Linked DNA regions of Anolis sagrei. The protein of the gene in region 1 binds, or shares a complex with, the protein of each later gene. Links are inferred from orthologs where the notes say so. Each region holds a gene or a part of one and is shown on either strand. Other genes may lie near its edges.

Region 1 (10,880 bases):
GATACGTTCGAACAGGTATGCTAGACCAGAGCCTAGTATTCAAATTTGGGCGTATCAGGTATTTGTGTCAAATTTGGTCCAGTGAATGAAAATACATCCTACAGATCAGATATTTACATTGCAATTCATAACAGTAGCAAAATTACAGTTATGAAGTAGCAACAAAAATAATTTTATATTTGGGGGGTCACCACAACATGAGGAACTGTCTTAAGGGATCACGGCATTAGGAAGGTTGAGAACCATCACCCCAAAGGGTCACTGTAAAATAGTGTTTCTCAACCTGGGGGTCGGGACCCCTGTGGGGGTTGCAAGGGGATGTCAGAGGGGTCACCAAAGACCATCAGAAAACATAGTATTTTCTGTTGATCATGGGGGTTCTATGTGGAAAGTTTGGTCCAATTCTATCAGTGGGGTTCAGAATGCTATTTCATTGTGGGTGAACTATAAATCCCAACAATTACAACTCCCAAATGGCAAGGTCTATTTTCCCCAAACTCCACCAGTGTTCACATTTGGGCATATTGAGTATTCGTGCCAAGTTTGGTCCAGATCAATCACTATTTGAGTCCACAGTGCTCTCTGGAGGTAGGTGAACTACAACTCCAAAACTCAATGTCAGTGCCCACCAAACCCTTCCAGTATTTTCTGTTGCTTATGAGAGTTCTGTGTGCCAAGTTTGGTTCAATTCAATCGTTGGTGGTGTTCACAATGCTCTTTGATTGTAGCTGAACTATAAATTCCAGCAACTACAACTCCCAAATGAGTTCTGTGTGAGAAGTTTGGCTCAATTCCATCGTTGGTGGGGTTCAGAATGCTCTTCGATTGTAGCTGAATCCCAGCAACTACAACTCCCAAATAAGAAAATCAATCTTACCCCAACCCCACCAGTATTCAAATTTGGGCATATCGGGTATTTGTGTCAAATTTGGCCCAGTGAATGAAAATCCATTCTGCATATCAGATATTTACATTGCAATTCATAACAGGAGCAAAATTACAGTTACGAAGTAGCAACAAAAATAATTTTATATTTGGGGGTCACCACAACACGAGGAACTGTCTTAAGGGGTCGCGGCATTAGGAAGGTTGGGAACTAAATGTTATCCATTGCACCAATAATGTAGCATTATTTCTATTGTGTTGCCCTGCTTTTGAAAAGTAACTTTGTCCCACTTTTCACTGGGATCCTAATGAAGTTAGAATTGTATCTCTCCCGCGCACACTGCTGTGATTTTTAGATAATGTGATGTTTTGCAGAGACGGTGGCTTCAGGGAAAAGCGGCTGCCTGGGGAGAGTTATGTCCCAGGTTCAACCGAAACGAGGGTGAAAATCTGCACTCGATACCGACAGAGATGAATGTGGCCTGCCTTGCGCAAGGAGGCTTCTCGTGCTCCCATTGGTTCGGCTCCGCAGCCCAAGCGACAGCCACTTCCAGTTCGAACCAGCTTTGCGGCACAAACAAGAGCCGGCTCCTTCCGCAGCAGCAAAGCACCAAAAGCTCCCTCCAAGGATAACAATCCAAGCAGACACATTACGGTTGTTGGAACACATCTCTTTCATGCCTAGGATCCACTACAGGGTCTCAAACTATAACTATCCTGGCTCCCAAGCATTCAAGTAGTAAGTGTAGATCAGGCATGGGCAAAATTAGGTCCTCCGGGTGTTTTGGACTCCAACTCCCACCATTCCTAACAGCCTCAGGCCCTTTCCTTTCCCCCCTCAGCCGCTTAAGCGGCTGAGGGGGGAAAGGAAGGGGCCTGAGGCTGTTAGGAATGGTGGGAGTTGGAGTCCAAAACACCCGGAGGACCTAATTTTGCCTGAGCCTTCTGTAGATGCATTCAGTCCTCCTAAAAATGGAGAGCAAGTGAGCATGCTTGTAACCCAAAGCATCACATTGAGAAGAGTGCATCTCGCATGTAGCACGGACACCGTTTGACAACCCACATCTATGTCTCGGTACTACACAATCCTGAGAGTTGTAGTGGGCCGAGGCAGAGAAGGAGACAGACTTGGTCAAACTACAACTCCCAGGATGACACTCCATTCTTTCATTCATTCATTCATTCAGATGAGATTCCCTATTTCCCTGCCTCCCTCAACCAGGTTCTGTGAGAAAGAGCTAAAGGCATGCAGCATGATTGGCATGTATGAGTACATTTGCATAAATAAAGCATATTTGCATAAATAAGGATTTCGCATAAGGGGGCATATTTGCAAAAATGGGCATATTTGTATAGATGGACATAATTGCATAAAGTGGTATTTGTATAAGTATATATATATATATGGGCATATATAGCATGCACTTGTATGTATTAGTATTTGCATATATTCGTAATACTTGCATAAATAAGACATATTTGTATGAATAAGGATTTCGCATAAGTGGGCATATTTGCAAAAATGGGCATATTTGTATCGAAGGACATAATTGCATAAAGTGGCATGTTTATATATATATGTGGGCATATATAGCATGTACTTGTATATATTAAGTATTTGCATATATTAGGAATATTTGCAGAAATAAGACATATATTGCATAAATTGGTAGTTTACATAAACCGGCCTATGTATATAGATGGACAAAATTGCATAATGTGGCATGTTTTCATATATATGGGCACATATAGTATTTTTTGCATATATTAGCATGCATTTGCATATTGAGAAACTGCAAGTTGCTTCTTGCAGTTTCTCAAGTTGCGACTTGAGAAACTGAAAGTTGCTTCTGGTGTGAGAGAATTGGCCATTTCCCAGGGGACGCCCGGATGTTTTGATGTGTTACCATCCTTGTGGGAGGCTTTTCTCATGTCCCCGCATGAGGAGCTGGAGCTGATAGAGGGAGCTCATCCACCTCTCCCCGGATTCGAACCTGCGACCTGTCGGTCTTCAGTCCTGCTGGCACAGGGGTTTAACCCACTGCGCCACCGGGGGGCTCCTGTATATTACTATTATTTGCATAAATACATTTGCATAAATGGGTATTTTGCATAAGTGGGCTTATTTGTATGTTGTTCATTCGTTCAGTCGTCTCCGATTCTTTCTGACCTCATGGATCTATTTGTATAGATGGACACAATTGCAGAAAGTGGCAAGTTTCCATAAATGGGCATATATATATATATATATAGAGAGAGAGAGAGAGAGAGTGATTTGCATATATTAGCATTATTTGCATGAATTAGCACATTTGCATAAATAAGACATTTTTACGTAAATAGGCCTATTTATCTAAGGTAAAAGTAAAGGTAGTCCTCTGACACTAAGTCCCGTCATGTCTGACTCTGGGGTGTGGTGCTCATCTCCATTTCTAAGCCGAAGAGCCAGCGTTGTCCATAGACACCTCCAAGGTCATGTGGCCGGCATGACTGCATGGAGCGCCGTTACCTTCCCGCCGGAGCGGTACCTACTGATCTACTCACATTTGCATGTTTTCGAACTGCTAGGTTGGCAGAAGCTAGGGCTGACAGCGGAAGCTCACGCCACTCCCCGGAATCGAACCTGTGACCTTTCGATCAACAAGCTCAGCAGCTCAGTGCTTTAACCCACTGCGCCACTGGGGGGGGGGGGGGGCTATTTATCTAGAGATGGACAATTGCATAAAGTGGCATATTACGTATATATGGGCACATATAGTATGTGCATATATTAGTATTAGTATAAATGATTATTTTGCATTGTATTGTCGAAGGCTTTCATGGCTGGAATCACTAGGTTCTTGTAGGTTTTTTCGGGCTATAGGGCCATGTTCTAGAGGCATTCTCTCCTGACGTTTCGCCTGCATCTATGGCAAACATCCTCAGAGGCAGTGAGTTCTGTTGGAAATAGGAAAATGGGTTTATATATCTGTGGAATGACTGGGGTGGGGCAAAGAGCTCTCTGCTGAAGCTAGGTGTGAATGTTTCAGCTGATCACCTTCATTAGCATTTGAAGGCTTGGCTGAGCCTGGGAAAATGTTCTGTTGAGAGGTGTTAGGAGAAATGCCTCTAGAACATCGCCCTATAGCCCGAAAAAAACCTACAAGAACCTATTATTTTGCATTATTTGGGCCTATTTGTATAGAGGGAGATGCAAAAGTGGTGTGTTTTTATATACGGGTATTAGCATGCAGGCTTGGCTGAGCCTGGGAAAATGTTCTGTTGAGAGGTGTTAGGAGAAATGCCTCTAGAACATGGCCCTATAGCCCGAAAAAAACCTACAAGAACCTATTATTTTGCATTATTTGGGCCTATTTGTATAGAGGGAGATGCAAAAGTGGTGTGTTTTTATATACGGGTATTAGCATGCAGGCTTGGCTGAGCCTGGGAAAATGTTCTGTTGAGAGGTGTTAGGAGAAATGCCTCTAGAACATGGCCCTATAGCCTGAAAAAAACCTACAAGAACCCATTATTTTGCATTATTTGGGCCTATTTGTATAGAGGGAGATGCAAAAGTGGTGTGTTTTTATATACGGGTATTAGCATGCAGGCTTGGCTGAGCCTGGGAAAATGTTCTCTTGAGAGGTGTTAGGAGAAATGCCTCTAGAACATGGCCCTATAGCCTGAAAAAAACCTATAAGAACCTATTATTTTGCATTATTTGGGCCTATTTGTATAGAGGGAGATGCAAAAGTGGTGTGTTTTTATATACGGGTATTAGCATGCAGGCTTGGCTGAGCCTGGGAAAATGTTCTGTTGAGAGGTGTTAGGAGAAATGCCTCTAGAACATGGCCCTATAGCCTGAAAAAAACCTACAAGAACCTATTATTTTGCATTATTTGGGCCTATTTGTATAGAGGGAGATGCAAAAGTGGTGTGTTTTTATATACGGGCATTAGCATGCATTTGCATATGTTTGCATTATTAGCATAAATTAGCATGCATTTGCATTTTTTTCCCCATGGGAAGCCCCAAACAGGAAAAGGCGAAAGTGGGGACACATATACACACACACCGTGCACCCCCTCCTCCCTCCAGTTTGACCCCCCCCCCCTTCTCCATACCACCCCATCCCAACTCGCCTCGGCCTTGGGCCTGTTCTGCAGCAGGTGCTCCAGGTAGAGGTCCGAGAGGACTGTCCTCATGCGGCTCGCGCCGTCGCCTGCCTGCCCGCCTTTGAGCGTCATGCTGCCCGGTGGATCAATGGAGGGATGGATGGATGGAGGGATGGATGGGGATAGCCCTGCTCTCTTCTTCTCCTGGCCCCGATCCCTGGGGCGTCCCGAGGCGGAAAGGGCTGCGGCGGGGCTGGGCTCCGGGGAAGAAGGCAGGCAGGGAGGCGGGTTGGAGGCGGCTCTCGGGGAGGAGGCAGCCCGGGAAGCGCCCCTCCCGGTGCCTCCGTTTGGCGCAAAGGCAACGCAGGAGGAGAAGGAGGAGGAGGAGGAGGAGGAGACCCCGGCCGAGCCCCGCCGCGCCGCTGCCTTTGCCCGCAACGCGGCAGCGCCCCCTGCCGCCCACGGCTGCATCTACACCCTCTGCAGTGAACGCAGGTTGACCCCGCCTGAACTCTATCCTCTGGCATCCTGAATACAGCTCCTCCTGTTGTGGTGACCCCCAACCACAACATTATTTTCGTTGCTACTTCACAATTGTCATTTTGCTCCTGTTATGAATCGTCATGTAAATATCTGATCTGCAGGATGTATATTTATTTATTTATTTATTTATTTACTGCATTTGTTGACCGCCGTTCTCAGCCCTAGGGCGACTCACGGCGGTGTACAACATATAAAAACAGTTTACAATAAGGGAATATCACAACAATAATATCAACATAACAATCAATAATACGATTATACTAAATCATCCGCGCCGTCTCATCGTAGAATCATAACCAATCTCGTTATCCATATTCCGTTCCAGTCATCATTGCCAATTGTAGCACTTAGTCGAACGCCCTCTCAAATAACCATGTCTTTAGTCTTTTGCGGAATGTCATAAGGGAGGGCGCCTGTCTGATGTCTACAGGGAGGGCGTTCCACAGCCGGGGGGCCACCACCGAGAAGGCCCTATCCCTCATCCCCGCCAGGCGTGCCTGTATATACATTCACTGGACCAAATTTGGCACAAAATATGCCCAAATCTGAATACTGGTGGGGTTGTGGAGGATTGATTTTCTCATTTGGGGGTTGTAGTTATTATTATTCAGTTCTTGTGGGTTTTTTCGGGCTATATGGCCATGTTCTAGAGGCATTTCTCCTGACGTTTCGCCTGCATCTATATGGCAAGCATCCTCAGAGGTAGTGAGGTCTGCTGGAAACTGGGAAAAAAGGGGCAAACCAGATCAACAGTTGGGTCACACCGTTTACAGAAAACCCACACACACAGATAGATATCTACATAAAAACTCCAACCATCACCCAAGTCAAAAAAGAAGCACCATTAAAGCCTTGGCAGACCGTGCAAAAAGAATCTGCGAACCCCACCTCCTCCAAGATGAACTGAACCACCTCAACTGGGCTCTCCAGGCCAATGGAGACTCCACCTCAGACATCAGAAGAGCTGCAAGACAACCGAGAACAAGCCACGAGAGTAAAGATGAAGACCCACCCAGAGGAAAAGTGTTCCTGCCATCAGAGGCGGCCCTAGATAATTTTCAATGGTAAGCAAACAGTATTTTGGCACCCCCTCCCCCCTCAAATCAATCACTGATATATATTTTCTGTTCGTTGTGGGAGTTCTGTGTGCCATATTTGGTTCAATTCCATCATTGGTGGAGTTCACAATGCTCTTTGATTGTAGGTGAACTATACATCCCAGTAACTGCACTTGCTGCACTTGCTCCCTTGCCTGGCCCGCTTTGGGTCTGGAGGCGTGCCTGAAGACCCCAGCGTGTGCACCAAAAGTCACCTCTTCTCCTGACTTTCTCCTCAGCCAGTGGGACCAAGAGAGAGAGAGAGAGAGAGAGAGAGGTGGAGATGCCCACCTTTCCTGTAGGTAGGTGCAAAAACAAAGGAGGGAGCGGAGGTGGGAGATACCTCCAGCCGGAGGGGCTCTCTCTCTCTCTCTCTCTCGGTCCCAATGGCTGAAGAGAAAGTCAGGAGAAGAGGCGACTTTTGGTGCGCACGCTGGGGTCTTCAGACATGCCGGCCGGACCTGAAGCGGGCCAGGCGCAGCGGCTCCACCCCTTGGCCCACCCACAGATTGGGGAGAGGAGAGGAGGCGGGTGGAGTGCCGGGGGATCGTGAAAGGGAGCCAATCATGGGGAAGGGATCGAACGCGGAAAACGATTGAGTGCCGGCTCTGCTCGCGCACCCTGTGGCTGGGTGGAGCAGGAAGGAGAGGGGCTAGGCGAGGCTCAAGGGCCCGGCCCCTTTGGGAAGAGGATCGCCCAGCGGTGAGGCAAGAAAGCCGAGGCTCCCCCCGGACTTCTAGGGCTGTTGTGAGCTGCTCCTCAAGCGGCGGTCAAGGGGCATTTACAGAGGCACCTCTGCGCCCCTGGCAAAAAAAGTGTTCTGCGACCGCTTATTTCGCGTAATGGACGAGCCACCCCTGGTTGTGGTTGCTGGGATTTGTAGTTTACCTACAATCAGAGAGCATTCTGTACTCCATCAATGATGGAATTGAACCAAACTTGGCACACAGAACTCCCATGACCAACAGAAAATAATGGAAGGGTTTGGTGGGAATTGACCTTGGGTTTTGGGTGTTGTAGTTCATTTACATTCAGAAAGTACTGTGGACTCAAACAATGATGGATCTGGATGAAATTTGGCATGAATACTCAATTTGCCCAAATGTGAACAGTGGTAGAACTTGGGGGAAATAGACCTTGACATTTTGGAGTTGTAGTTTCTGGGATTTGTAGTTCACGTACAATCAAAGAGCATTCTGAACCCCACCAATGATAGAATTGGGCCAAACTTCCCACACAGAAACCCCATGACCAACAGCGTTTTCTGATGGTCTTTGGCAACCCCTCTGACACCCCTCTCACAACACCCCCCACGGGGTCCTGACTTCTAGATTGAGGAACATTGATCTACACTATAGAATTAGTGCAGTTTGAGACCACTTTCAGTGCCATGGCTCAGTGCTATAAACAAAATTCCCAGGATTCCAATACATTGAGGCTCCTATCTACACTGCCATATAATACAGTTTCAGAATGCAGATTAATTGCATCAAGTTGGCTTATATGAATCTATGCTACTATGTAATGCAGTTCAGTGTTGTTCATCTGCATTGTATGGCAGTGGAAACAGCACCTGAGACGTCGCAGTTCAAATAGTGTCAAACTGTATTAATTCTGCAGTGCAGATACACCCTGTGATCAGCTTTGAAATACAGATCTTTTGTATTCTGTCTTCTAATAGGTTTTAAACGGTCTTGGCTGTGAAAATGGTTTGTTATATCTTAAAATAGCATGGATAATTACTAGTGTGCCAGCAGCTCATAGAAATTATTCAATGTGAATGGACCCCAGAAGAAAATTGGAAAGAACAGGAACAAAAACTGGAACAATGTGTTTTTGAAGGCTTTCATTGCTGGAGTTGCTGAGCATTTTTTGGGCTGTATGGCCATGTTCCAGTAGTATTTTCTCCTGACGTTTTGCCCACATCTGTGGCAGGCATCCTCAGAGGTTGTGAGGTCTGTTGGAAACTAGGCAAGTGGGGTTGATATATCAGTGGAATGTCTAGGGTGGGAGAAAGAACTCTTGTCTGTTGGAGGCAAGTATGAATGTTCCAATTGGCTACCTTAATTAGAATTGAATGGCCTTGCAGCTTCAAAGCCTGGTTTTTGCTGCCTGGGGAACTCCTTTGTTGGGAGGAGTTAGCTGACCCTAGGACCAGCTAACACCTCCTAACAAAGGATTCCCCTAGGCAGCAACCAGCAAGACTTTGAAGCTGCAAGGCTATTCAATTCTAATCAAGGTGACCAATTGCAACATTTGCACTTTTCTCAAATGCACAAGAGTTCTTTCTCCCACCCTGGACATTACACAGATATATAAACCGCACCGAGTCCCTTGGGGAGATGGTAGCGGGGTACAAATAAAGTATTATTATTATTATTATTATTATTATTGCCTAGTTTCCAACAGATCCCTCAACCTCTGAGGATGCTTTCCATAGATGTGGGCGAAACGTCAGGAGAGAATGCTTCTGGAACATCGCCATGCAGCCTGGAAAACTCACGGCAACCCAAAATCTGGAACATTTCAATCCATCTGGAGTTGCTCTAAAGCATTTCAACAAATGACAGAGAGTCAAAACAGCAGACATTTTATTGATTACATCAAGTAATGTAAATGTAAACATTTTTATTTTACTGGCCTGTTCAAATATCTCTATCTTTGAAACACAGATACTCACTCTTGTCCACACCAGAATTGCTCCATCTTAAACAACATTGTTTGTCGCAAAGTGACGGACAGTGACAGAACTTCTGTTATTGCAACTGTTTTGCAATAACAGAAAGGGTAATATGCCTCCTTCTGAAAAATTGCATTTAGAGAAGCAAAACAACCCTAGTCAGCCGAGCAGTGTCCTTGCTGGCTAAAGAAATTATAGTCCTAAAAAGTAACTTTTCCAAGCTCCCCAAGACTTTCTTCGCAAAGTGGGGCTTCTCAACGGAGAGATTCCTGGGTCTGGTAATCAAAAGACGCTGATCACTTCTGGAAGATCCTCTTCAATCTATGAGAATTCTGGAAAGTAAAAAGAGAAAGGAGACACAGACCCCTAAATCAATAAAATCCTGTTAAGGTTGCCAGCTTGTCTGTGTACATTTTCCCAGCATTTATGTTGCAGTGTTAAAATGGGTTGCATCTGTTGAATTGATGCCTCACTTATAGTTACTAAGGACCCAGAATGGAATAGAATCTCATGAGACCACTGGGAACAACAACAACAACAACACCAATATGTATGTATGTGCATGTATAGTGTATATATTGCCATTATAATACAATACAATTTCATGAGACCACTTGGAATAACAACAACAACAGTGCCAGGCTTTGGCACAGCAGGTTAACCACCAGCTGCCATAAATCTTGCCAATTAAAAGAGAACAAGCCCTATGAGGAGCGGCTTAAAGAGGTGGGCATGTTTAGCCTGAAGAAGAGAAGGCTGAAAGGAGATATGATAGCCATGTATACATATGTGAAAAGAAGTCATAGAGAGAAGGGAGCAAGCTTGTTTTCTGCTGCCCTGAAGACTAGGACACAGAACAATGGCTTCAAACTACAAGAAATGAGATTCCATCTGAACATTAGGAAGAGATTCCTGACTGTGAGAGCCATTCAGCAGTGAAACTCTCTTCCCAAGAGTATGGTGGAAGCTCCTTCTTTGGAAGCTTTTAAACAGAGGCTGGATGGCCATCTGTCAGGGGTTCTTTGAATGCGATTTTCCTGCTTCTTGGCAGGGGGTTGGACTGGATGGCCCACGAGGTCTCTTCCAACTCTATGATTCTATGAAAAGGTTGGCAGTTCAAAGTCCAGGTCAGGGGTGAGCGCCTAACCTTCAGCCCAGCTCACTCCCCACCTAGCAGATCGAAAACAACTGTGAGTAGATAAATAGGTACTGCTTAAGTGGAGAGGTATTTTAATGACACCATAAGGAAAATGCCAGCGATAAAAAAAGGAGGAAGTCTGTGAACAAGGCTCTTCGACATGGAGGATGGAGTGACAGCACCCCCTTGTGGCCGGAACTGAGCACAACCTCTAGGATGCCAAAGATGAAAAATGTCTATATACCACTATCTGTACTGTTGTCTGTCCTGTCTGTGTATAACAGCATTGAATGTTTGTTGTATATGTGTTCTGTGATCCACCCTGAGTCCCCTTCGAGGTAAGAAGGGAGGAATAAAAATACTGTAAACAAACAAGCAAACAAAAAACAACACACCAATATGTATGTATTTGTGTTTTGTCTTATGTCTGTTAAAACAGGCTA
Region 2 (11,095 bases), on another chromosome or scaffold:
TTCGGCAAGAAGGTAATGACACTCCATGCAGTCATGCTGGCCACATGACCTTGGAGGTGTCTATGGACAATACCGGTTCTTCGGTTTAGAAATGGAGATGGGTACCAACCCCCAGAGTTGGACATGACTAGACTTAATGTCAGGGGAAACCTTTACTTTTACTTTTAATGTGATTGAAGAAATGTAAACACATCAAATAGAAGTCTAGGTTTTAGTGAGTTTCAATTCTCTCTCTGCAATGTCAGTAATTTGGAGATAGGAGCAAAATTTCTTGAAGAGGCAGGCTTCTTATTTGGAGATGGTAGTGTCCTCGTTTGGCTCCCCTCTTTAAAGGCAAGCAAAGTGTCTGGGTATGAAATCTCCAATTGAGGATGACAGCTCATGGATTTTCCACTTGCTGGGGGATTCTGGAAGCTGCAATACAAAAAGTAACATTCCTAAGATCTCTTTTTTCTAAACCTTCCCTGAAATCTCATTTGTTTCATACTGGCTGAGCTCACATTTGTTTGCCATTTTTCCATCAGTTGGTAGAAAGGCTGGATAAAGTTTACAAAATAAATAAATGTATTAGTGCCTATTTGGGTGTGCACAGGGTTTTTCTCCTTTTGAAAAAAAGACATTTTTGCTTTAAAAGTAAAGCTTTAAAGACTGCTATTTTATCTATTCTGTAGCCTTTTTTAACTTCTTGTTTTTCAGTATTCTATTTTTTAAAAAATAAATGCTAACCATTTTGTTGACAAGGTATGCTTAGACTAAATCCAGGTAAGACACAAGTTTTACTGTGGGTGATTGTGTCCGATTGGTTACGAGGGGCCATTTTTACTACCACCCACCCAAGAAAGCACCTTTTGCCTGAAGAAGTGGTATTATTCATATATTCCTAAAGTGTTTTGTATAATATCAAGAGAAGCTTACCTGTCAGATGGTCTAAATCTCAAATACATAAAGTAAATATTAAGTACATAATTACCCAGGGAAAGCAATATCAATTTAAGATCAGAGCTGAGTTTTGGATATGTAAAGCAATGTTGCATAGAGAGAGAACAAACTTGTTCTCTTTTCCTTCAGAGGGCAAGATCAATTGAGACAGGTTTTGGTGAAATATTGCAAGAAAAATCTGTGTAGCCGAAGTTGTTTGCAACAAAACACCTCTCTTTGCTGGTGATGTTTCACTGGAAGCTGGAAGGCGATCTCTCTATGTGACTCTGCATTGCAGAGCTTGGACTGGGTTGGACTAAATACCATCCTGGATTGTTGTAGGTTTTTTGGGCTGTATGGCCATGTTCTAGAAGTATTCTCTCCTGACATTTCACCTGCATCTATTATTTATCCTCAGAGGTAGTGTTTATCTCTGACAGGCCCGTAGCCAGGATTTTGATTCGGGGGGGGGGGGGTGAGTTTGATTCGGGGGGGGGGGGCTGAGTTTGATTGAAAGAGGGTCTACCCTAGCAAACCTTTTGTACTGTTACCCCAATACCCCCATGCATATGGGATATATTGAGTATGGTGATCAGATCATGATATGAATAAACATAACAGTTTAAATAATGCACTAGTAAGGCCTTCTCGCGGACCACCATGAGAATTTGGGGCGGAGGGGGGGGGGCTGAAGCCCCTCAACCCTCCCCCCCCCCCAGCTACATGCCAGATCTCTGAGGATGCCTGCCATAGATGTTTTTATAGGTTTTAATGTATGTTGTTTATAATTCTGTTTAAATTGATATTGTAATTTTTACATTGTTTTAATTGGCACTGAATAGCTGCCTTTGTTCTTGAGTCACCTTCAGGTTTGAGAAAGGTGGGGTAGAAATATCATAAGATAAATAAATAAATAAATAAATAAATAAATAAAGAGATAATACTTCTAGAACATGGCCATACAGCCTGAAAAACCTACAACAACCCAGTGATTCCGGCCATGAAAGCCTTTGACAACACCATCTTAGATGTCTTCCGGCAGTTCAGTCTTCTTATTCTCTGATTCATATCATTTATTTGGGCAGAGAATCATTGCACTTTTCAGAAATGGATCACTGATGCATTCAGTGTGGTATTGTTCATGGGAGCTAGTATAGCATAGCGGTTTGAATGTTGGAATAGGACAGCTGGAGAACATGGAAACTCACTTGGTAGCCATGGGAAAATCCCACTCTCCCAGCCTCAAAGGAAGACAATGGCATCTTTAACGGAATAAATCTTGCCTTGGAGAGGTGAGAACTACCACATGTATTCTAGATCCTCGCCCTTCTTGGCTGATCAAACAGGTCAGAGGGGGATTAGCAGAGTGGGTGAAGGTGGTGGTCAATGCCTCCTTAAAAAAGGCAGAGTTCCAGTTTGCCTAAAGGCGGCAGTTATGAGACCTACATTTAAAAAACCATCCCTGAACCTCTCTCTAATGGACAATAGGCCTGGGTAACAACGCAAAAATTTGTTTCTAAAATCGATTTGTATTTGGGGGGTTTTTTTGTTTCGATATTTAAAATAATTACAAAATTTTCCTTTTAAAAAGTTCGATATTTACGAAATTTCGTAAATGGTAAAAAATTAACGAATCGATTTCCGAAACAATAATGAATCGATTCGTTAATGACGGACGCAACCGCGAAATACGCTAAAAAACCTCCAAAAACTTCTGAAGCTTCCCTCTCCCTCTGTTCTTGACTGTTGGTGTGATATTATAATTTTTTTTCACTAATTAAACCATAAAACTGGCCCAGACATGCGGAAATAATAACGAAACGACCTCAGAACAATAACGAAACGAATACAATAACGAAATACGAAGCATTTACAAAACGTGTTTAAAAATTTGTTTTTTTAATGATTGCTCCAGAATGGTTCGTTATCGTTTTGTAATTAAAAAATTAACGAATTATTAACGAATTACGAATTAACGAAACGAAACCGCCCAGGCCTAATGGACAACTATCGGACAGTGTCCAACCTCCCCTTTCTGAGCAAGGTTTATCTATTTGGATCCATTTCAATCTGGTTTCAGTCTTGATTATGGAAGAGAGACAGCTTTTGTCACCTTGGGGATGACCTATGCAGAGAACTAGACAGGGAGAGTGTGTCCCTGTTGGTTCTCCTGAATCTCTCAGTAGCTTTCAATACCATTGACCACAGTATCCTTCTGGGTTATCTCACAGTGATGGTACTGGGAGGCATTGTTTTACAGTGGCTTCGGTTCTTCCTGGGGCACCCTACCCAGAAGGTGGTGCTGGAGGACTCCTGTTCAAACCCCTGGCCATTGACCTGTGGGGTTCCTCAGGATTCCATTTCGTCCCCCATGCTGTTCAACATATACATGAAACCGCTGGGAGAAGTCATCTGGAGTTTTAGAGTTGGGTGCCACCTATATGCAGATTATGCAAGACAGAGGTGCTCCTGGTCAGTCAGAAGGGAATAAGGATACAGCCTGTGTTGGATGGGGTCACACTCCCCTTGAAGACATAGGTCCACAGTTTGGGGGTCCTCCTTGTCTCAGTGCTGAACCTGGAGGCCCAGACATTTGCACTGGCCAGGAGGGCCTTTTCACAATTAAAACTTGTGCTCCAACTGTGCCTGTTCCTTGAGAAACCAGATCTGGCCATGGTGGTACATGCCTTAGTTACATCCCATCTGGATTACTGTAATGCACTTTATGTGGGGCTGCCTTTGAAGAGTTCTCAGAAACTTCAACTGGTCGAAAGAGATGCAGCCAGGTTGCTAACTGAGGCTGGCTACAGGGAGCGGACAACCCCCCCCCCCCCCCCCAATTGCAGTAGCTCCACTGGCTGCCAGTGGACAGTTCAAAGTGCTGGTTATGATCTTTAAAGCCCTAAATGGTTGAGACCAAGACTATCTGGCTGACCGCATCCCCTTGTATGAACCTGCCCAAGCCCTGAGATGTTCAGGAGAGGCCCTTCATTCAGTCCCACCTCCATCTCAAGCTCAGTTGGTGGGAACAAAAGAGTGAGCCTTCCTTCTTTGCCCATTGACTCTGGAACTCCCTGGCAAGGGAAATCAGAATGGCCTCCTGTTCTTCCAATGTTCTTCCAAACCTTTTTATTCAAACAGGCATTTAAAGATGAAGATGTTTAAGATCTAGTCAGGAGATGCTATAATTTTTAACTTTGAACATGTTTGATGAATTTTAACTGAATTTTAAAATACTTTTTCTGTATCATTCTGTTTTAATATTTGTATATTGTATATTTTCAATTGGATACCAATGCTTTTATGTCAAGCTGTTTTGAGCCCCCTTTGGTGAGATAAAGCAGGGTATAAATATAATAATCATCGTCGTCGTCATCATCATCATCATCATCATCATCTAAGCCAAATTCCACAAGGAATACCATAATATAATGAACAGAAAATTAGGCTCCAAAGAGACAGGATGCAGAACAAATACTACCATCAGCTTGAATGACCGGTAGACAACAGAGGCAAACAAATGTTAAACTAGGTAAACAAGGCTGTAGTCAATAGTATATTAAACCTCATCCATGCAGATAAAATGCACTGAGTGATTTCTAATGTATTTTCTGGCTCCATTGGAATGAGAATGTATTTTAAAGGATAAAATTGTCCCACATGCACAGAATTGTTAGTGGGTGCAAAATAAATAGTATTTCAAAATAGCCAAAGAACCAGATATATATTTTACATAAGGTGTGTGCAGGGGCAGCTCAACCATTACGCAAAGTAAGCATTTGCAGTATAGTTGATTTTGCCCAGGGGCGCTCTTGAGACACTCTTGGGGGAAAATAGACCTTGACATATGCGAGTTGTAGTTACTGGGATGTACAGTTCACCTACAATCAAAGAGCATTCTGAACTCTACCAATGATGGAACTGAACCAAATATGGCACACAAAACTCCCACGACAAACAGAAAATATATATCAGTGATTGGTTTGGGGGGGGGGGTGTCAAAATACTGTTTGCTTACCATTGAAAATTACCTAGGGCCCCCTCTGGGTGTGTGTCAGAAGTGACACACACATTTTACATAAGGTTAAGTAGATCACAGACTTCCCTTTCTGATTTCATAGCACAGGAGAATTTGGAACCAGCATTACTTCAGTTTGAAAGTGAGCCTCTAAACTGCAGCAATGCACACAAGATTTTTCTGCACTCTCTCTTACAAACACCTATAAAACCTGCTACATCAGAGGCAAAAGTGGAATGGGGACATATACAGCCAGCCTACTGAATCCACAGATTCTGGCATCCACAGCTTGAAAATGTTTTCTTAAAAATCCATTTTTACCATTTTGCCATTTTACGACACAATTGTATATAGTAGGATTTGAGCATCCATAGATTTTAGGATCCATGGGTGGACCCTGGACCAAGCCCCAGCAGATTCTAAGAGCCCTTTGTAATACTTTTTACCCTCTCAATGCAGAGGCCCCAGTGGCACAATGTGTTAAACCCTTGTGCTGGCAAGACTGAAGACCAACAGATCAGAGGTTCAAATCCAAGGAGAGCTGGATGAGCTCACTGTCATCTCCAGTTCCCCATGCAAGGACATGAGAGAAGGCTCCCACAAGAATAATAAAACATCAAAAACATCCAGGAGTCCACTGGGCAATGTTGTTGCAGATGGTCAATTCTCTCACACCAGAAATGACTTGCAGTTTCTCAAGTCACTTCTGACATAAAAAAACCCTTAATAAAAACAAAACAAAAGACAAGGACATTTTCCCCTGTGTCTCTATAAAGAAATCCTGCTGCAATAAAGCAGCAAAATAATAGTCCATTTTAATTCCTCCCCTTGATTTGATAAAACCAGCATCCCTTCCACCTTAAAGTTCACTGTTGTTTATGTTGTGTTTTATGTTATGTTTTATGTTGCTGTACAAGATGCATTTAGCTTTTAATTTGGAGTAAGGCTGTATTTGCTTCAACTTATTGCTTGCTGAATGTGGAAAGGTCCTCGCTGGCTGGGAACAGGAAAAAGAAAAGTAAAAAACAGTTAGTGCTTATCTAAAAACTGGAGCCCCTCCCCTCCTCATATGAGTTGGAGAGGCCAAACGGAATGACACATGGGCTGTTTCCTTTTCCAGTGGTAAATGGTCAAGAACCAGAGAAGAGACATCCGAACAAGAGCGGCTTTCTCCTGGTTTCTCCCCAGCCCTTCCAGCTGTTCTGCTTCACCCAACTTTGGACTGCGGCTAGGAAAGCAAGACTGTACAAAAAGGGAGGGGGGCACTTTTCTGAATGCATAAAGAATGAATTCCTATAACAGTTCAACATCTGCTCCGCGTGAGTACTCATTATCAATTCCCCCTCCCACGGTAGTACTGTAACGGCAACTGTACAACCCTTAAGGTTAATGTTAATTTGTTTAAAAGAACTATTTTAAAAGAAACTTTGTATGCAGAGATCTCCTTTCTAAAGGCTGTTCTTCAAACTTTGCTTCCTTTCTTTCCTACATTTAGCAGTGTGGGAGGGTTTAAGCAAAAAGAATGAAAGCATGTGTGTAGAAGTTAAAGCAAGGATCCAAAGACAACAGTCATTTTCATCGATTTTAACTCTAGGTAAAAAAGTTTTGAATCTGTTACAGAGAAAATGTAGCTGAAACTAGAATGAATTAATTGCATTTCTTTTGTTTATTCATTTTTTACTGACTTTCAGATAACTGTTTGCTAGTTTTGCCTCTTACACACACTCTCTGCTTCTCTCATGGGACATTTTACTACTTCACTCATATACAGACAGGGAACTATCTCTGTGTAACATGAGAACCAAGCCGTAAACTGTCAGCCTATATTTAGCCACAATGCATTTTTGTTTTCACAACCTTTGCAAAGCAGGCCTATGAGAATGGAATGGGGAGGGAGCATATTTCCTGTTTCCGTAGTTGCATATTTTTCAGTGAAAAGTTATACTATGATAGATGTTAGAGTGGGGAGAACTAGGATAGGTGAATATGAAAAAGAAGCAACAAACTTTCTACTGTAAAGTTTATGAATTCTTTGAGAACTGAGAAGTTAGTATAAGTTTCCAACAGTGTTACCAAAGTGGATTCCAAGCTAGAGATCATATTGTGAATATGGGAAAGCCTGAAATTTGGTGAGAACACATTTGGTAATATTACAACAGAATTAATAATGGCACAGTCATATTTATCATGTGTTCATTTAGCATGGTGCAATAAATATATAGCTGCATTTTCAAACCTTCCTAAGAAAAAATGCCCCAAGGGCCTTACAATCTAAAATGAACAGGGAGGAAAACAAGCAGAAAAGGAAGTACAGTAAGTCAGAAATGTAGCAAAGGATAAATTGAGCATTGCTCATTCACTGTGTCATGGATCTTGTACAAAGTGGACAGCTGTTCCATTAACCAACAGCCTTTGTTCCAAATGTTTGACATAAAAGAGTTCTTAGAAAATTGGAGAAATCAGTTCTTAGATAATTGGTAAATTTTGAGAACAGGTTTTCTGGGCACAAATGAGGAGAAAGAGGCAAACACGTGTGTCTTTCTTCTCCTCATTTTATTTTAAGCACACTTCCAATCCAAATAGTTACATGGTAGGCTGCTGAAAACATAAGGTATACATAAATGGCCTATACTGTGTAATGATGAGCAGTTTCAAAAGAACTCCACATAAAAGTATATAATGTTTCTAATTTTGCTTGGAAAGATTTTTAAAATGTACTGTAATTACTTTTACAAAAATGCAGAAACCAAAATAATAATTTCTCATTTCCCCTTCCCTCTTCCTCTGACTGTTTTAATTATTGTAGCCCCATCTTATTTGCCATGTCTGCATTTGACTAAGGCTCCTTCTACACCACCCTATATTCCAGAATCTGATCCCAGATCATCTGATTTAAACTGGATTATACGAGTCTCTACTGCCAGACATTCTGGGATAAGAAGATAATATGGCAGTGGTTCTCAACCTGTGGGTCCCCAAGTGTTTTGGCCCTCAACTCCCAGAAATCCTAACAACTGGTAAACTGGCTGGGATTTCTGGGAGTTGTAGGCCAAAACACCTGGGGATCCACAGGTTGAGAGCCACTGTAATATGGGATATAGGGGCCTAAGAGCATAGAAAACACTTTAATATGCCACTGACAGCCTTTGTACAGATTAGCCATGTATGTATAAGCAAATGGTGCTATATGTGTGATGGCTTGGATCTTACAAGCAGAACTTTGAACAGTCCCTTCTTCATTGGCTTTTGTGTCTTTTTATGGACTACAGCTTCTAGAACCTGGAATGCCCACTGGTTGGGAGACTCTGGGCCTTGCAATAAATCTCCTTTAAATTACTGAGTGGAAGTGTGCAGAACCTGTGCATGCAGGTCAAAGGCACACCTAAATGTGCACAATAGGAGAGTCACCCTCAAAGCACCACATTTTCAGGAGGCACATCTAGGTGCTAAGACAGAGAAAAGGGAAATGTTTTTGAACTTCATCCTATGTTCTTAGGGTCTATGGAAATGAAATTAGATTCTAGTGGCTTTCTGTGTCCGTTGCATAGCAAAAAGATGGAATGTCCAATCTGAATCAAAGTTTTTTTTAAATTCATAATGTAGAGTAAGTCTTATTGTGCGCCTTCAAGTAATTTCCAACTTCTGTTGATTCTAAGGTGATCCTATTGTGCAGTTTTCAGAAGTTGAGAGTGTGTGATTTACCCAGGGACACCCAATGGATTTCTATGTCAGAATGAGGATTAGAACCATTGTCTCCAGAGTTGTAGTACAAGACTTAAAACACAATGGCACACTGCATTATCCATATGCTTACCACTTAGACCTTGGACTTTTCAAACATGTCAGTGGGAGAAAGAAACATTGGCCTACCACAGGATGGGCACAGCACAGTTGCAATATCTCATGTAGGCCACACAATAAGATATTATTGCTGCAGCTCTTAACCAGCCTGCATGAGTATTTTCTAAACAAGGCAGGTGTCTTGTCACTACGGAAAGTCTCAGAATCAGCAAAACATCTTTTAAACAGATTGAAGTGGCAGCAGCACCAGCATTATCCGTCCTTTCTGCCAATCTGACACTAAAGTTTGCTTACAATAATTTTAAGAAAACCTAAACAACATACATATTATTTGGGGTCAGTTTAATGACCTCAAAAATCATTAAATTGACTCCAAATTAAAATCAGTTAAAATATAGCTATTAAAAATAGCAAATAGACAAGACAGTAGAATTGTTTAATGTCATTTCCCTCACACAATATATTTATTATATTTATTTATAATAAATTGATAGCTGTTATCTTTGTTTACAGTAAATTGATAATACTTGCACAATGGCCCATTGCTCTAGAGCAGTAAAATTATTATATTTATTTCTAATGGGCTGCACTCTACTATTTAACAAATGACTCATTTTTCAAATTCAGTAGTAGATATATGTTACCCAAAGAGAAAAAGGAAGGATTTGTGGAATGATTGATTTGCAACCAGGAACTCAACAGACCCTGCTAATGAAACATCTGCCATATCAAGCCAACAGACAGCAAAATAGAAATCCTTCTTAATGAAGTTACTCTAAGAAACCTCAGTAATTACTGTCATTGAATATATACTCAGTGGAGACCACATGTCCATTGGGTCAGCTGCCTGTTTTTTGGATGAAGGTACGTGGGCTTTCAGAAAAGCCAGACTGCGTTGAGTATTGTAATCCCTACAGCAGCCAAATTTTCACATAATTTGTTCTCCAACATATGTTTCACCACAGGGATCCAGTGAATTAAAATGAACAATTCTGCAGTAAAATGTTGTCAGTTTAATATTTCTGTGCAGCCTTAACGTTGTAATGCAATTTCCACTGCTGCCACCTCTCTTTCCTCACTCTCATTTCTGGAGTGTCTGATTCCCCAGTAAACTCTGTTTCAGTTTGTTATCAGCAGCTGCCTCCTGAAGACTTTTTGGTCGTTAATGTGGAGTGTCTTGAGAGTGATAATGCATGATGTCATAAACTACTAATGATGAATCCCATATTTAACATATATTTGGTCCGAGTTAATTTATTTTGGCTCTATTAAAAGGTGTCTACCTGGAAAGCCCTCAAACGGTAGCAGTGTAGCCTTGGATGAGATCACACACTATGTACCTTCTCTTTCAAACCTCAGAGAGGGAAGTAGTGAGCTCTACTGAGGAATTAGACATATTTATTTCTTTGACTTTTTGTTTCTCTAATATCTACATCTGTTTCTTAAAAACAGAAACAACCCATTTTTTCTATAAATCATAGAATCATAATTAGAATACATTACAAATACCATTGAATCCAACCTCTGCCATGCAGGAATACACAATCACAGTGCTCCCAACAGATGGCTGTCTAGATTCTGTTTAAAATCTCCAAAGAAGGAGACATTCCAAAGTAGCCTATTTCACTATTGCACACACTTACTATCAGGAAGTTCTCCCTAAAGTTTAGAACTTCTCTTTTCTTATAATTTGAATCCAGCCAAGCAGGCATGTAGCCGGGGGGGGGGGGGGGGGGGGGGGGGGGGGGCTTGAGGGGCTTCAGCCCCCCCCCCCCCCCCCGCCGAAATTCTCATGGTGGTTTGCAAAAAGGCCTTACTGGTGCATTATTTAAACTGTTATGTTTATTCATATCATGATCTGATCACCATACTCAATATATCCCATATGCATGGGGGTATTGGGGTAACAGTACAAAAGGTTTGCTAGGCTAGACCCTCTTTCACTCAGACTCAGCCCCCCCCCCCCAAAACTCAACCCCGCGAAACACCCCTGAAAAATCTTTAGCCCCCCCCCCCCCAAAACGAAATCCTGGCTACGGGCCTGCAGCCAATCCTCAAAAATCAGGTCATTGTAAATTATCTGATGACTGTAATGAGTATTGTTCAAAATGTAAATCCTTCTCAGCTCCAGTATCAACCTAACTATAGTATTTCAAAAAAAAAAAAAAAAAAGCAAAACAAAAAACCCATGCCTGCATACTATTTACATATGCTATAGATAGCAAAATACAAAGCTGGATCATATTGAGTCAATCAATTGTTTTCTCTAAATTGTGGTTTTTTAAGATCTATATTCCTAGATATCAGTCCGTAACTCAGACCATTTTTGACTGCTGGTCATGATAACATAAGATGATA

The links. The genes of interacting proteins can lie anywhere in the genome.
Region 2: the proteins of MPP1 (region 1) and GYPC are in contact, whole or in part, in an NMR structure (PDB 2EJY), measured with the Homo sapiens proteins. The link is inferred for Anolis sagrei from reciprocal best matches to the Homo sapiens genes MPP1 and GYPC. Residues at the interface, in NP_002427.1 of Homo sapiens: Pro81, Met82, Gly83, Ile84, Leu86, Lys87, Leu88, Leu100, Val130, Gln134; in NP_002092.1 of Homo sapiens: Arg123, Lys124, Glu125, Tyr126, Ile128.

Annotation. Positions count from the first base shown.
Region 1 is NC_090030.1:15,265,558-15,276,437, forward strand, and holds the start of MPP1 (55 kDa erythrocyte membrane protein), read right to left. Parts: upstream 5,349-10,880; 5' UTR 5,112-5,348; coding exon 5,007-5,111; coding exon of another isoform or gene 5,003-5,006; intron 1-5,002. UniProt on the Homo sapiens protein: Essential regulator of neutrophil polarity. Regulates neutrophil polarization by regulating AKT1 phosphorylation through a mechanism that is independent of PIK3CG activity.
Region 2 is NC_090021.1:225,762,041-225,773,135, forward strand, and holds the start of GYPC (glycophorin-C), read left to right. Parts: upstream 1-6,011; 5' UTR 6,012-6,221; coding exon 6,222-6,255; intron 6,256-11,095. UniProt on the Homo sapiens protein: This protein is a minor sialoglycoprotein in human erythrocyte membranes. The blood group Gerbich antigens and receptors for Plasmodium falciparum merozoites are most likely located within the extracellular domain.